Canis lupus familiaris: one gene and its partners. The protein of the gene in region 1 interacts with the protein of each later gene in a pairwise test. Links are inferred from orthologs where the notes say so. Each region holds a gene or a part of one and is shown in the gene's direction. Other genes may lie near its edges.

Region 1 (4,522 bases):
GTTTGGATCCAGCTGTGTGTAGGAGACTCCAGAATGATGCCACTTTTATTGTCCTGACTCACTTGTTGAGAGGTTTGTCTGTAGGTTAATGGTTTTCAGAGACTCTGTAGGGCTCTGTAACCTCTTTCGGAAGTTTGGGAAAAGTGATCCCCCCTCCCCCCCATCATTCCTTCTCTTTGACTTGTTTTATACATTTAGGTTCAGTTTTAACTCTGGAAAGGCAGGGATGCCTAAAACATTTGAAGTCGTCTGCCCTATCAGCCTGAGACCGCTCTAGGGTGAATGTATTAGGAAATGAAAATGTAGGTAATAATAATTTATATTTGTCAGTGAGCAGACTTTATCTAACTTCATCCATATTTCTATTCCCAATGATGTTTCATGTAGCCTAATATTAACGTGAGGTTGAAATGACTGAATACAATAGGGTCTGGAAGTGATTGGAACTAAAATTTGATTTGGAAAATGGGTAATCTACAATTTACTGCACAGGGTTCATTCCCACCATGAGCTCCTGCTGTGCGTTTAAAGGCTGCCCTATAAGCATGATATAATGACAGGTTAAACCCCTGAGTGTACCACCTGACGCAGGGCAAATCTGAGGCCCAGGACTTTATTGGGGCCCGTGTAATGCTTCTTTAAAAACACAAGCTTCTCTGTTTAATGAGGCCATTTAAGATGGTTTTCCCAGACTGGGAAGAGAATATAATCTCAGTTTGGAGGTTGAAGGAGTTTAATAGAGTTACGGGTGTTTACTACTCTCACTGCAATCTATTCGAAGGAAGAGAAGGAGTTTCAAGTATGATGTCACCAGGGATAGAAGTGGAGGAGTGAGTTAGAATTGAGGAAATCGGGTCGTTGACGCCCAGTATATAGTGAACGAAGTGGGGAGAGTGCTTTTACTCTATGAGCACAGTTCACACATGGTTAACCAGGAGAAGAGCACTTTTCTGGCCACGTAATTCTCATATACTCTATGTAGGTCTTAGGTTGAAATCATACAGAATTGGCAGCATCTGTTTTCTACAGAAAGACATGTTTCGAACTAAATGTAAGCTTGTGGAAATGGGTGAGGTTGCAGTGTTGCCTGGGGTCGAGGGCAGGGTCTGGGTTGTGCGGGGCAGCGCCCCAGCGGCCCTGGGCTGGGGGGCGGGGCTTGCGGGCGTGACCACCGCGCCGGCCCCGCCCCGCCCCGCCCTGTCCGGCCCCGCAGGCCCCGCCGGCCCCGCCCCGCGCTCGCTGCGGCTGGGCTGGGCTGGGCTGGGCTGGGCGCTGCGAGCGGAGGCCGGCGGGCGCTGCGGGCTGGAGCAGGCTCCCCCAGCACCGCCAGGCCCAGCCCTGGGCCCCGCGTGGCTCTCCGGCGGGCCGGACCCTGCGGCAGCTCCGAGCTGGCTCCGGGGTGCGCCTGACCAGCCCCCGCGCACCCTGCAGCCCCATCCTTCACCCACGCTGGCGGGCTAGTGAATGTGGGGAAGACAAACTTCCAGGGCAGGCGGTTGAGGGCCCAGCGGAGGACAGCTCCGGTGATGGCGCCCATTTTTGGAAACGCAGGCGAATTGGAGCTCGCGGGGAGGTGTGGTGGACTCCTGAGGGGACGGGAGAGGCTTCGTTCCTCTGCTGCTGCGGCAGCCGGTGCTTCGGAGGAGTGAATGGGGGATCCTAGAGCAGGGCGCTTACCTTCGCTGCTTGAAGACTTGAACTCCGACGTGCTTAGGAGCAGAACGTGTCCATCCAGCAGGGCCTCTGTTACAAATCGTGTTTGCTCCTGGGGGAAGGGCTATGAGCCGCCTGACTTCTCATGACCGGGAAGTCTCCCTTACCTTTTCCGTACTCCTGGAGGGGCGTCTTGCTCACATGTCTGCCAGCAGCTGGGACAAGGAAGAGAAAAGGTATTGACACCAAGAGACTGGGATGCTTAAAGTATGAACCGGGAAAAGTTGTGAGCTGGGGGAATCGGGATCAGGGAGTGGCTGCAATGTAATTGAGCTCTAGTTTGCATTGCTGTTTCTTTTGATCTACTGTACTTTTCTCTGTTTAAACCAAGCTTCAGGTTACGTCATCACTCCTGCAGGGTTGTCTGAAGACACTTGAGTCCGTGGTTCCTACTGCAGGGCTGCTCTGTGGTTGGGGTTCTTTTTGTTTGAAGATGGAGCTGGGTTCCACCTTTGGTGCTTTGGGAGGTTTTAGCACCTTCTGTCCTGTAATACCTCCATTCGCAAGAAATACCGGCCTCATTTCACTTGTTTTCACTCTTTAGAGATTTAAACTGTTTTTTTGTTTTTTGTTTTTTGTTTTTTTTACAATGTTTGCAAAAGTAATAAAGATAATATTGGAATGTAAGCCTGAATGATTGATGATTATGTATAGTTATTTGCTCGGTCTGGAAATGAAACGATAGTATTTTTCTTGCTTATATTTTCCTAGTTCTATTATTTTGAATACAAGCCGAGTTTACTGTTCCTTGATGTGATTAGCTTGTTTGGTTTAGTAATTTGAAAAGGCATCAGTGGTTTAGACTGTTTTGTGTGCAGGGAGCCACTTTCCAATTCTAACATTGCTCACATAAGTGAGCAGTATAAAATGGACCACGAGACAGGCATACAGCATATACGTGGGGCATTTTGGCAAGGCTGAGCCCGTTGTTTCCAAGTGGTAGAAAATGCATGGATCATCGTACTCACAAAGAATCAAACACCTGGGTTGTACAGTGTTTCAGGTGATGAGAATTGATTCCCGTTGTCCCTTAAGTCCATGTGACAAGCCACCTTATGGTGGAATTCTGTACTTTTGTAGACTCTTGAATTGTAGAATATTAACTTTAGTTGACAGTGGACTATTTTTTTTGTCACCTTCAACCCTCACTTGGTGTCTATCCTTGAGTAATCTAGAAGTCCAGTTGCTTTTATATAGTCACATGGGTAACCAGCGTTGTTTTCTTAAAGTCAGGTTCTTTGCAGCAATAATGATTACATTGAGGAAGCATTAAATTTGAGGCATTCAGTTTTAGTTTTGTTAGAAATATGGTTTGTATAGTTGTTGGGAATACAGTCTTGGGACATCAGTAGACTGATCTTTTGTTATCCCTGAGACAAATATGGCCTGTCATATCCTAACAAAGTAGATTCCTGGGAAAGGTATTTATTTGCTTTATCTTTCATTTAGCCTGACAAACTAGTTACATTGTTGTCGTTTCTTCCAGATGACATTTATCTCAAATAATATTTATTCCTGTGCTGATGAATGCTTCAGCAACACTAGTGAACCCTAGGATACAAGGAATTCTTAACCTGTTTACTGTCCCCAATGTTGCATGTGTCTCTGGTGTTTTAATCTTTATTCTTTAATTACTTCTTTTCTTCCCCTTTTCAAATTATATGTAATTTTATTGTGCAATGGAAATAGAGTAGAAAGATGTACTTTCTCTGAGTACCTAAAAACTTTTGAGATTACCCTCCATTTCTCTTCTCTTTCTCCCACCTTTATTATGGGGCCTACTGATCAGTAGGAAGTAAGATTAATTAACACGTAGCTGGTGTTCAGATTCTAGGGGAAGACTTAATAGATGAAGGTGCATGATGGGATGGCAGCAGATCCTTCCCCTGACGACCCCTCCATCCCTAAATCTACAACTGAAGCAGATAACTGTTTGCCATTAGGCGGAGTTAATCAGAGCTGATGTCCTGGGTGATCCTTTGGATTACTTGTGACTGACTCCCTGTCACTGTTTCGAGCTGCCTTAGAATGGAAAAGAAATGGACTGAGCAGGGCAATTGAACACCGAGGGAGAGGGGAAAGTTCAGTGAAAACAGCTTTGGTTGAACTTAAGCTACTTAACACAGGGTTTCTTAGTTGTTTACAGTCTGGTTTCTGTTTCAGCATTTATTCCATATTGTATAATTCATCCAAAGGGATTTTTTAATATTTTTTTAAGAAAGGGAATTCTACATGTGTTTTGGGACATTTTGATAAAAGAGATTTTATCTGGTCCACAACTCCTATAATACTCAAAATGCATAATTCGTGTAATTTGTGTTTTTTTTTTTTTTTAAATCCTTTACTCTTTTTGCTCACAGTATGTTTTTCATAAAACTTAAGTATTTCTGGCATGTAAACATTATTTATAAAACAAGTGAGAGTTTTAATTATTTCTCCTGCCTCTTTTTATTTTTATTTATGTTTTCGTTACAGAAATGAGCCGCCAGACTGCAACAGCATTACCTACTGGAACCTCAAAGTGTACCCCGTCTCAGAGGGTGCCCGCCCTGACTGGCACAACCGCATCCAACAATGACTTGGCGAGTCTTTTTGAGTGTCCGGTCTGCTTTGACTATGTGTTACCACCCATTCTTCAGTGTCAGAGTGGCCATCTTGTTTGTAGCAACTGTCGCCCAAAGCTCACATGTTGTCCAACCTGCCGGGGCCCTTTGGGATCCATTCGCAACTTGGCTATGGAGAAAGTGGCCAATTCCGTACTTTTCCCTTGTAAATATGCCTCTTCTGGATGTGAAATAACTTTGCCACA
Region 2 (3,966 bases), on another chromosome or scaffold:
GACACTTCCAAAGTTTAAAGTATGAAATCTTCCACTCAGAGAAATGTCAAATTATCCCAAAGTTCTTAGTCAATGATCTTTTGTGTGGAGGTGGCAGGAATCTAATGCAAGTGGCTCAAAGAAGGGAGGATGCTGCTTGTGGTAGAAAGTCACCCAGGGATGGGCAGGCTCGAGACATGCCTGGATCCAGGCTGCAAACGGTGCTTTCCTCTGTGTGGGCTCTATGGTCTCTCCCATGCCAGAGCAGAGGTGGCCCCGGGTTCCATCCTGTCTGTTCCAACACAAGCTGTCATTAGGCGAGGGTCGCTTAGAGCTGAGCGGCCTGGACTGTGAGTAAGGGATAGGGGGGTGGCTCAGGGAACCAGGGCATCTGGAGGGGGGCTCCAGGGAACTGTGCTAGAGCACAGGGTGAAGCCAGGTTTCTGAGCCCAGAGGGTGGCCAAGTGGAGGCACATTTTAGCTCAGGATGAGAAAGTTCTTTTCTCCAGCATGGGCCTCCAAAGGACGGAGCTGGCTGTGTGGCTGGGAGTGAGTACCTGGTCTCTGGGCTGCTGTAGACAAGGTCAGCTCCATTTGGGGATTTTGACCTGGCAGCCCCGTGTTGCTTCCAGCTGGAGATACTCAGAGACAGGAATGCCTCAGGGGTGATAGGCTGACTCTGGGGCTGCCTATGCTTTCCCTGCAGGGAGTACACGGAAGATGGGCAGGTGAAGACAGAGACAAGGTATTCCTACAGTGAGTACCACCCCCACCCCCCTGCACACACGTGGTCTCTGCCCTTAGCCAAGGCTGACAGCAGTAGGGAAGGCATAGAACCAGGCATTGGGAGCCCTGGGTGCCCATCATGGGAGTCCTGCTCTTCCATCTGTCCAGTGAGGCTCTAGGAGCCACCCCTTCTGCCCTGGAGTGGCCACGGGCTTAGATAAAAGGACACAGAGCCAGTGGTCCTCAGACATATGGCCACTCTTACTATGGTTTCCGAGTTATTCCCTCTCCCTGTCACAGACACTGAATGGAGGTCAGAAATCGTCAACAGCAGAAACTTCGACCGAGAGATCGGCCACAAGAACCCCAGGTGAGAGCTGGGTGCCCAGGCCTGAGCATAGTCTTGCCTGCCAGTGGCAGGCCCCTAGCCCCAGCTTCCCCATCTGAGTGATGGCGTGGAGCTGCTTCTGCCTCATGAGTTGATGATAGTCGGGGACATGGTTCTGAGGCCGGCTCCTGTGGCACATGGAGGCAAGAGCTGACTTCCTGAGACCACACAGGCTCCCCTCAAGTCGTGAATGTGAGGCCTGGACTGAGTGCCTGAAGGAACTTGCACATCCAGTGCCAGGGAAGCATTCTGTTACCGGCTGTGGGGGTGGGAAGACAATCAGAAGGACTTTCAGGAGGCCATGAATTTGATGTAGGCCTTTGTAGGATGTTGGCAGAGGGCAGCTAGCTCAGAGACATGGGGGTGGTGAGATGGGCTTAGTGGTGGAGCCATGGGAGGGGCTTTGAGTCTGCACCGTGGCTGGCACGGGAGCTCCCTGTGGCTGGGGAGGGCCTGGGAGGGTCTGAAGTCCATCTGACAACGGGTGGCTGGGGAGGGGAAGGCCGGTAGGGGCCCTAGGTGAGAAGTTATGAAGCTCTGGGAGACAGGAAGAGGGTGCTCCACCCAGGCGAGGGGGACAGGAGTCTCCAGGGGCAGGTCTGGTAAACACAAGATGTCCCCAGTGCCTGGGCTGGTCTGGACTGGCAGGAGCGCCTGGGTGGGAACCCTGCCTGGTACAACCCAGAGACCCAGAGGGCTCCTGGCCAGTACCCTGCTCTGCCAATAGCTCTTTCTGCCCCACAGCGCAATGGCGGTGGAGTCCTTCACGGCAACAGCCCCCTTCGTGCAGATTGGCAGGTTCTTCCTCTCAGCAGGTGAGTCTCTGGCCCCTTCAGATGACCCAGCAGCACCCAGAGGCCGTGTGCTTCTACTTGGCCGCCTCGCAGGAGCTGGGGTCCCCGCTGCCCCGGGTGTGGGATCGGCCTGCGCTTTCCCGGCATCATACATTGGGCTGGGGGCCAGAGGGAAGGCAGGTAGGTCCCGGGGAGGTGGGAGACTTGTGTAGAGCAGCCCCATCCCAGCCAGGTTCCCCTGAACACGGTTTCTTCCAAGTACTGCTGGTGCCTGGTCTGACCAGACAGAGCTGAGGGCCTTCCTAAGCGGTCCCAGAGCCAGCCGTAGAGACAAGGCTGCCCCCCACGGGCTCCACCTCTGAGCCCCACCCAGCGTGCAGCAGTTCACTGCAGGCCCCTCCGAGTGACTCCAGACAGAGGCTTTCCAGGGACAAGGCAACACTGCCGGCCACAGTGACTCCTGGGGTGGGAGAGAAGCACAGGCCCCAAATAGCCAGGGTAGGGAGGAGGGGTGGAGGCCCAGCACAGTCAGGGCAAGGGAGGAGAGGCCGGGCCCTAGGGCCTGGCTCGTGTGGCTGCCGTGCTGCTGGCTGCTGTGCCTGGCAGCCCTGGCCTCAAGTGTCATGCAAGCAGCAGGGGAGCCAGGCTCAGGCAGGGGCTCAGGCTGTTCTCAAAGCCGCAGCCACTCTTGCTGCCCCGAGAGACAGCCAGGGAGGCTTCCTAGAGGAAATGGAGACTGAAGGGGGCAGCAGTAGGGAAGGAGGGATTGGAGATCCCGGCGCTCCCCTTGGGAAGGAGGTCAGGCTGTGGGGTGTGCAGGTGGTAGGGAGGTTGTTTGCACACCAGTGTTGTAACCGCTGCACACTCCTCAGGCCTCATCGACAAAGTAGACAACTTCAAACCGCTGAGCCTGGCCAAGCTGGACGACCCGCACGTGGACATCATTCGCAGGGGAGACTATTTCTACCACAGCGAAAACCCCAAGTACCCAGAGGTACACAGGGCTTTGGGCTGTTCACGTAGCAGAGATCAGGGCCTTGGAGTGCCCCTCCCCCCGTCTTCCCGCCCCACAACATAGAGGAGGCACATTCCTGTTTGGGACTCGGATTCGGTTCAGTTTAATCCACCTGGCCAAATGAAATTGGAGGGGGCACCTGGGCCATGGTATGGAAGCGGGAGAGCAGTGTGAGCCTTGGGGTTTGGCGGTGCTGGGGACATGGGCCCAGGCTGGCTGCCCCGGGCCTCACTCAGCCCCCCGCTCTTCACTCCCAGGTCGGAGACGTGCGTGTGTCCTTTTCCTATGCGGGGCTGAGCGGCGACGACCCGGACCTGGGCCCGGCTCACGTGGTAACCGGCTTCCCCTGCGCGGACCCAGGCAGAGCCACCTCACCTCCCGCTGTGCACGGGGCCCTGAGCGCATGGGACCCTTCCTGTGTGCGTGCACTCCCGTGGGCACACGGCGGGCGTGCCTTGAGCGGCCTCAGCCCTGTGTGCACCACAGCTATCCATGGACACCCGTGGGCCCCAGGATAAGGGGCCTTTCTCCTGCTGCTTTAGAGGGCCCTCCTGGGAGAGTTCCTCCAATTGCACACTCCTTTTCTCCCCCCAGCCCCCAGGCTTTGCTCTGTAAATACTTGGTCTCCAGTCTGTGACCCTGTCACGTGTCACATGCAGTTTCACCCCTGGCCCCGGCCCTGACACAGGCTTCTGCGCCAGGTCCTCCCTGGAGTTGTGAGTGGGCTGGATCTCCTCACTCTCCTTGCAGGCACATGGTGCGAGGGCTGCCGGGGCCTGGCCGCCTGATCCCCTCAGCTCTAACCCTGAGGTCTCTGACCAGGTCACTGTGATTGCCCGGCAGCGGGGTGACCAGCTGGTCCCCTACTCCACCAAGTCGGGGGACACCTTGCTTCTCCTGCACCACGGGGACTTCTCGGCAGAGGTGAGCTGCTGCTGCCCATCTGTGTGTTGGAGGGGCAGGCGTCTCCCCCTTCCCTCGCCCCTCCCGTGGTTATTCAGCAAGCGCCCCCACTGGGGGCACAGCCAGCACACTGAGCAGGGGAGAAGGTGGCAGGAGTATGT
Region 3 (2,921 bases), on another chromosome or scaffold:
GTTTCCACATTCAGACTGAGTCTGCCCAAGGGAAAGGGAACAACAGCTGCCACAGTGCAGTGCATCTCTGTCACCGATCCTCCTGACAGGGCAGGTTTCTATAGGGTGGCACGTGGACTGCAGAAAGCTTCACCTTGAGAGTTTGTTTCCTAGGTGTGTACTACGATGAAAACTGTAATAGCGATAATCTGAACCATGCAGTTTTGGCAGTGGGATATGGCATCCAGAAAGGAAACAAGCACTGGATAATTAAAAACAGGTAATGATGGGGATACTAAGTTTGGCACTCGATCCCCCTATTAGCACTCAACTTCAACTCCAACTTCCCAATATTTCTTTCTCTCTCTTCAAGAGAAAGTCGTCTCAAACTTTTTAGTTCTCCCTTCCCAATCAGAGGCTATTAGTTCTAACATATCATGGCCAGACAGTAGTACTCAGAGTATGTGTTGGGCAGCTGCCCCACATGCAAGGTACTTAGTTGTATAGCAAAGAACAGAATGTTTGCCTTTGGTGATCTCACAGCCCCTTAAGAAAGACCTAACTAACCAGAACATACAATAGCACCAAGAAACCAGCAGGAAGTTTGGAATTACATAGTTTTTTATTTCTTTTTTCTATAATGTGATCAATATCTTAGGAAGCTTTCCATCATCAGTCTGTTTGTAAGCAGTAGGGAACCAATGTAAAGATTTATATCCAGTTGTGCAACTTTTTGCCCGTCCAGATATACTTAGGATAACATATATAAAAATTGGCCAAAGATTTTGATGTCTGTGAAGAGAAACACTTTTTGGGAAGTAGATAAGACAACAACAACAATTAGTGTTTCCTTCCCTATTACTGGGAGTAAATAAAACCTACAGTGTTCTTTGGCTCCCCTTTTGTGACTTTGGAGGGTAAACTTAATGAGAATTATACTTTTCCTTTCCTCATCGGCCAATACCAGCCTGGCAACAGCACTAACTAAACTCTCTGTCCTTGGTGCCTTCAGTGGACAGGAGTCTTAGACTCTGAGGAGTTCACAGGCCAGAACAGTGCTATAAGCAAGTTGTGCTGCTGTCTAGAGGACTGGAAGGATAGAATGTGTAGATCACAGTCCCAACTAAGGCTGAACCCAAACACCTTTCTAAAAAGGTACTCCTCCCACAGTTTCTGTCCTATGTTCTCCCTTTGTCGACTCCCAGCCCCAAGTACTTACTCTGTCCTTCCCTGGTCAGGTGCCAGAGGTGGAACATGATCTAGGAGAGCTGGGAGGAATAAGGGACACACTTAAGCAGGGTCAGGATCACTGGACACCCCTAGAGAAGGGAATAGGAGTGGGGTAATGGTGTTAAGCAAAATGTATTGGGTAACTGGAGAATTTGCTGTTTGAGGGAAAAGGACAGAAAACTCATGGAAACTATTTAGGAAGATACATAGACCAATCTCCTCTCCCACACCCCATTGTCTTCCATTCTCTCCACTTCTTTCCTCAGCAGTCTCATTCATTCTCGTAGCTTCATCTCTCCTTTTGGGTTTACCCAGTAAGACCAAGATCACCAGTTTCAGCCTCTCTTACTTCTTTCTTATGCTCTAGATTCATGATTTCAAGATTATTCTTCCTTAAACACAAGTTGGACCATATTACATTCCCAATCTGAAACTCTCAGTCTCTCTTCCACTAGAATGGACCACAGAATTGAACTCTTTAGGCTGGCAGTAAAGATAATTCAACCTGATCTCAATATACCTTTCCAGGCATATGTCCTACTGTACCCTGTCAAACACGCTATTTTTCAGTCACCTAATCTTCACACATGTCTCATGCTTTCCTGCCTTTAGTATTTCATACTCCTCTGCTGGCATCCCATTTGCATGGGTCTATCTAGTCTTTGGGCTCACTTCAAATGCTGCCTCTTGCATTAAGCCTTTTTTGATTCCTTGATCACCGCAGTCTCCCCTGTCCTTGAGGCCTCTAGCATTATGCCTTCTCTCCTTTCCTTTACTTTAAATGCTTTAAAGGTAAAAACTGTTTTATTCATTTTTTATACCATCAGTACCTAGCACAATAGTCAGTAAGTGTTTTAATGAATAAATAAACTTAGGGTACTAAGTATTTTCCTTCATTGGTCCTACAGCTGGGGAGAAAACTGGGGAAACAAAGGCTATATCCTCATGGCTCGGAATAAGAACAACGCTTGCGGCATTGCCAACCTGGCCAGCTTCCCCAAGATGTGACTTCAGCCAGCCAACCTCATCCTGCTTTTCCATTCCTTCCATGATGGAGCAGCATACTGATGTACTTTGGGAGAGAGTCAGTGTGCCTTTTCTGAAGCAGTTGTAGCAATATAGAGATTGTCCACTCAGTTTCCCTGTTTGTGCTTCAAGTAACACCCCTACTATTTGCCTTCTCTCCACCCAAGGCCTTTATTTTTCACTGTGCCCACAGTAGGAATTTCCCTAACAGGATGCATTCTTAGGCTAAGAGATATGCCCACAGCCTGACCAGACTGTTGTCCTGAGGCTGATGCTATGCGGAGAGTCAGAGGCTAGAGATCTTCAGACAGATTCTCATTCTCAGTGACTAGTTAGCTTTAACCACCTACAGGACTAAGGTGACCTGACCTCTCCAAGTTCACTTCTATATCCTGAAAATAGAAATTTCTATTTTTTCCACCCCAATTAATAAATCTATTCATAAATCTTTGGTACAAGTTCATGTGATACAAGAAATGTGTTTTCTTCTTTGCATTTTTACAGTAAACTAAGTATCTCTTGTCTCTAATTTAATAAATACCTATTTAGTAAACATTCATTTTGTGTCAGATACTGTGCTAGGTGCTAGAGACAGGAAGATGAAAAAAAAAAAACATATATTTGGGGTGCCTGCCTGGCTTAGTTGGAGGAGTTTGCAACTCTTGATTAGGGTTGTGAGTTCGAGC
Region 4 (3,966 bases), on another chromosome or scaffold:
TTTAGCGCTGCCTTCAGCCCAGGGCCTGATCCTGGAGACCCTGGATCAAGTCCCACATTGACCTCCCTGCAGGGAGCCTGCTACTCCCTCTGCCTGTGTCTCTGCCTCTCTCTCTCTCTCTCTCTCTCATGAATAAATAAATAAAATCTTAAAAAAAAAAAAAAAAAACCTCATCATCAAACCAAAGTCACACTGATTTCTTGATTTCTTCTGAATTTTCTTCTATAAGTCTTATATTTTATATTAAGTCTAAAATCCATTTTGAGTTAACTTTTGTGAAAGATATGTCTAGGTTCTTTTCTGTTTCTTTTTTTTTTTCTTTTTGTGGCACACATAGAAGTCTGTTTGTTCCAGCACTATTTCATTGAATTGTCTTTGCTTCTTTGTCAGTAGTCCCTTGACTACATTTCTATGAATCAATTTCAGGGCTCTCTCTTTTGTTCTACTGTTCTGTGTGTATATTTTTTCCATCAATACTTATTACCTTGATTACTGTAGCTTCATAATAAGTCAGATGCTGTGAGTCATCTAGAATTTTCTTCTTCAGTATTAAGTTGTCTGTTGTGGCTCTTTTGCATTTCTATATACGCTCTAGAATATGTTCGTCAGTCTACAAAGTATTTCTCTGGGATTTTGATTGGGATTATATTGAGTCTGTAGGTCAAGATGAGAAGAATTGACAACTGAACAGTATTGACTGTAATAATCGTTAAGCATGGGATATTTCTCCTTTGATTTATTTCATCAGAGTTTTATGGTTTTCTACATAGAATAGTTAGTTGTACAGTTAGATTTTGTTAGATTTGTACCAAAACATTTCATTTATTTCCTTGCTTTAATAAATGTTATCATTACTTTGTATTTTTAATTTTTTTATTGTGTATTTTTTTAAAGACTTTTTTTTTTCTACAGCAATTTTAGGTTCACAACAAAATGGAGAGGAAGGTACAGAGATTTCCCAAAGGCCCCTTGCCCCTCCACCCCCGCCGACATGCATAGGGAAATATGAAATACTTCACAAATTGATATGTTGTCCTTGAGCAGAGACTCTGCTAATCTTCTCGGTATTATTACAATTTTAGTATATATCTTGCCAAAACAAATACTGTTAAATTATCTTTTAATTTCAAATTTTAGTTGTCCATTGCTGTTGTATGATATATATTGTTGAGTTATTGTCTGTATTCTGAGACCTTGGTTTGTGCAATAAGATCTAGGAGTTTTTATTTGTTTGCTTGCTTTGTTTTATTTTGTTCTGATTAATTCTTTGGGAATTTTTACATGGAAATGATGTCACCTGTAAATAAAATTTTATTTTTTCTTCCACAATCTTACAAGTTTTATTCCCTTTTCTTACTGAATTAGGACTTCCAGTAAAATTTGAATAGGAGTAGTAAGAATGGCCATCCTTACCTTATTCCCAGTCATAAGGGGGAAGCATCCAGTTTCTTACCTTTCAGTATGATAGTAGTTGTAGGTTTTTGTAGATCTTTGTTTCAACTTGGAGATATTTTCCTCTATTCCTGCTTTGTCGAGAATTTTTATCATGAATGATGTTGTATTTTGTTAGATGTTTTTTTCTGCTCTTTATGATTATATGATTTTTTTTCCCCCTAAGCCTGTTGATGTAGTAGGTCACATTTGTTTGCTAATGTTGAACCAGCCTTACATACCTGGAATAAATCCCACTTGGTCATGGTATATACCTTTTAAATATATTGTTGGATTTAATTCGCTACTATTATTGAGGAATTGTGCACCTTTGTTCTTGGAAAGATGTGGATTTTGTTTTGTTTTGTTTTGTTTCATTTCATAATGTCTTTGGTTATTAGGAGGCCTCATCCTTTTTCCCCTTTGGATGACATGTCCCTTCCTGGGGAGGTCAGATATCAGCTAGGCCAGTCCCTTGGCATCTTCCCTAGACTAATATATAAAAGAATTGACCAGTGAAACCATCTGGGCTTGGTGCTTTTCTTTTCTTTTCTTTTTTTTTTCTTTTATTTTCTTTTCTTTTTTTTTTTTTTTTTTTTTTTAATAGAGGGGTGGAGGGGGGCAGAGTGGGAGGCAGAACCTTAAGCAGGCTCCATGGCCAGTATGGAGCCTAATGTGGGGCTCGATCTTACAACCCCAATATCATGACCTGAGCTGAAATCAAGAGTCGGGTTCATAACTGACTGAGCTACCCAGGGACCCTGGTGCTTTTTTGTTTTGAAAGGTTAGTAATTACTTTTTCACTGAAGTTCTTTAATAGAACTTTATTCCAGTTGCTTAATTCCCCATTTGTGGGGTTTGGATTTGGTCATTTGTATATTTCAAGGAATTAGTGAAATTCATCTAAGTTAACAAATTTATAGGCCTTGAGTTTGTAATCTTCTTTATATCCTTTAATGCCCTTTCAGTCAGTAGTGAGGACCCCAATTTCATTTCTGATATTGTTTATTTTTCTTGTTTAGCATACCGAGATGTTTATCAATTATATTGATCCGTTCAAAGAAACAGCTTTTGGTTTTGATAATTTTCTCTGTTTTTAGCTAGGTATTTGTTATCCCAATCAAACTGAAGAAGACATGTAGGCATCCACATTATCTGTGACAGTTCTCCTTATTTGGGGGATGTTGTGGCAGGTGGATCACGCCAAATCTTTATTCTGTGGTGTAGCTGCATTTTTCCATCTTCATTTCTTCATAAGCCTTGCACATTTTCTCAAGTTTTTGCTTATGTTGAGCTCTTCTTGATACAGCTCCTTTCTTCCTTCCTCTCTGACTTGAAATCTTATATTTTATGTTAGAAATACATAAATATGCTGAATTCTACTTCAGAAAGTATCTGTGTTTATTTAACTTAAGAATGGTATTTTAAATTACTAAATGTTCAGTACATTATTTGGGAAGGTACATTTAATTTTCTCTTTCATGGAACTCTGATGTATGCTTTGGTCCCTAGCTTTGCTAGTGGTGTGTCCTCGGTTTGAAGATCTCTGTAGCCTCGGTTTCCTTGTCCACAGACAAGCAGATACAGCCCACTTCATAGTGCTGGCATGAAGGTTGGTTGTGAGCCTGACCTGGCATCACAGAGAGATCCTCAGTAGGTGCTGCAGCCTTCCCACGTGTCATAGCTTCCTACTCTCTCTTAGCCAGAAATTGAGTCTTGGGGTTTCTTTGTTGTTATTTTATTTATTGCTGCTGGATAAGCCACCGAAATGACTTAAATTCCTTTTGCTATGTAGTTGTTTCTCACTTGTTTTAGTTTTCACTTTGCATATGATTTCCTTATTTCTCTTTACAGAAATATGGAACGTTGATTTTTCTGAAATATAAATTCATGTGAACCATGGAATGGTAGAGAATATGATGAATATTGCTAACTTGACCTTCTTGCTTGCAGGGGAAGGGGAGGAGTCACCACCCGGCCAGTTGGAGTTGGTGTACCACGAGGGACGCCAGCTTCCAGGGGAGTCCTTTCCACCCGAGGGCCAGTGAGTCGGGGAAGAGGACTTCTCACTCCCAGAGCAAGAGGAGTTCCCCCAACTGGGTACAGACCTCCACCACCACCCCCAACACAAGAGACCTATGGAGATTATGTAAGTCAAGTCAGGTCACACAGCAGCTGTGCTGATCTGATCGAGCCAGTCCATATATACATAGCATTGGATGTTGTAACCAAGTACCTGCCCTTACTTGCTGTTATTCTCAAATATTCCACCTTAGTTCAGCAAACATTTATTGAGTGCTAAATAAGGTGTGATATGAGAAGCATAAAAAATGAGAAAGAAATAGCCTCTTTCATCAAGTAGCTTACATCTAAGATAGGGAAGATGCATTTGGGTGGTGGGAGGTTCGAGCCCAGGATCAAGGAGACATATTATCAAGCTCTAACAGGTTTTAATGTAACATTCGTTCATGTTCCACTCCAGGTTGCCTCTGAGTAATTCAGTCATTTAAAAAAGAATCACCTACAGATGCCAAG

What was found.
Region 2: the proteins of SIAH1 (region 1) and TMEM43 interact in binary tests that used the Homo sapiens proteins (3 or more experiments, as listed by UniProt). The two-hybrid records come from large-scale screens. The link is inferred for Canis lupus familiaris from reciprocal best matches to the Homo sapiens genes SIAH1 and TMEM43.
Region 3: the proteins of SIAH1 (region 1) and CTSK interact in a two-hybrid assay, tested with the Homo sapiens proteins (2 studies listed by BioGRID). The link is inferred for Canis lupus familiaris from reciprocal best matches to the Homo sapiens genes SIAH1 and CTSK.
Region 4: the proteins of SIAH1 (region 1) and KHDRBS3 interact in a two-hybrid assay, tested with the Homo sapiens proteins (3 studies listed by BioGRID and IntAct). The link is inferred for Canis lupus familiaris from reciprocal best matches to the Homo sapiens genes SIAH1 and KHDRBS3.

Annotation. Positions count from the first base shown.
Region 1 is NC_049223.1:65,986,538-65,991,059, forward strand, and holds the start of SIAH1 (E3 ubiquitin-protein ligase SIAH1), read left to right. Parts: upstream 1-1,301; 5' UTR 1,302-1,798; coding exon 1,799-1,889; intron 1,890-4,188; coding exon 4,189-4,522. UniProt on the Homo sapiens protein: E3 ubiquitin-protein ligase that mediates ubiquitination and subsequent proteasomal degradation of target proteins.
Region 2 is NC_049241.1:4,315,603-4,319,568, forward strand, and holds part of TMEM43 (transmembrane protein 43), read left to right. Parts: intron 1-685; coding exon 686-735; intron 736-1,005; coding exon 1,006-1,075; intron 1,076-1,837; coding exon 1,838-1,908; intron 1,909-2,759; coding exon 2,760-2,881; intron 2,882-3,159; coding exon 3,160-3,234; intron 3,235-3,652; coding exon 3,653-3,826; intron 3,827-3,966. UniProt on the Homo sapiens protein: May have an important role in maintaining nuclear envelope structure by organizing protein complexes at the inner nuclear membrane. Required for retaining emerin at the inner nuclear membrane.
Region 3 is NC_049238.1:60,586,750-60,589,670, reverse strand, and holds the end of CTSK (cathepsin K precursor), read left to right. Parts: intron 1-153; coding exon 154-259; intron 260-1,198; exon of another isoform or gene 1,199-1,298; intron 1,299-2,117; coding exon 2,118-2,217; downstream 2,218-2,921. UniProt on the Homo sapiens protein: Thiol protease involved in osteoclastic bone resorption and may participate partially in the disorder of bone remodeling. Displays potent endoprotease activity against fibrinogen at acid pH. May play an important role in extracellular matrix degradation.
Region 4 is NC_049234.1:32,045,666-32,049,631, forward strand, and holds part of KHDRBS3 (KH domain-containing, RNA-binding, signal transduction-associated protein 3), read left to right. Parts: intron 1-999; exon of another isoform or gene 1,000-1,104; intron 1,105-3,384; coding exon 3,385-3,580; intron 3,581-3,966. UniProt on the Homo sapiens protein: RNA-binding protein that plays a role in the regulation of alternative splicing and influences mRNA splice site selection and exon inclusion. Binds preferentially to the 5'-[AU]UAAA-3' motif in vitro.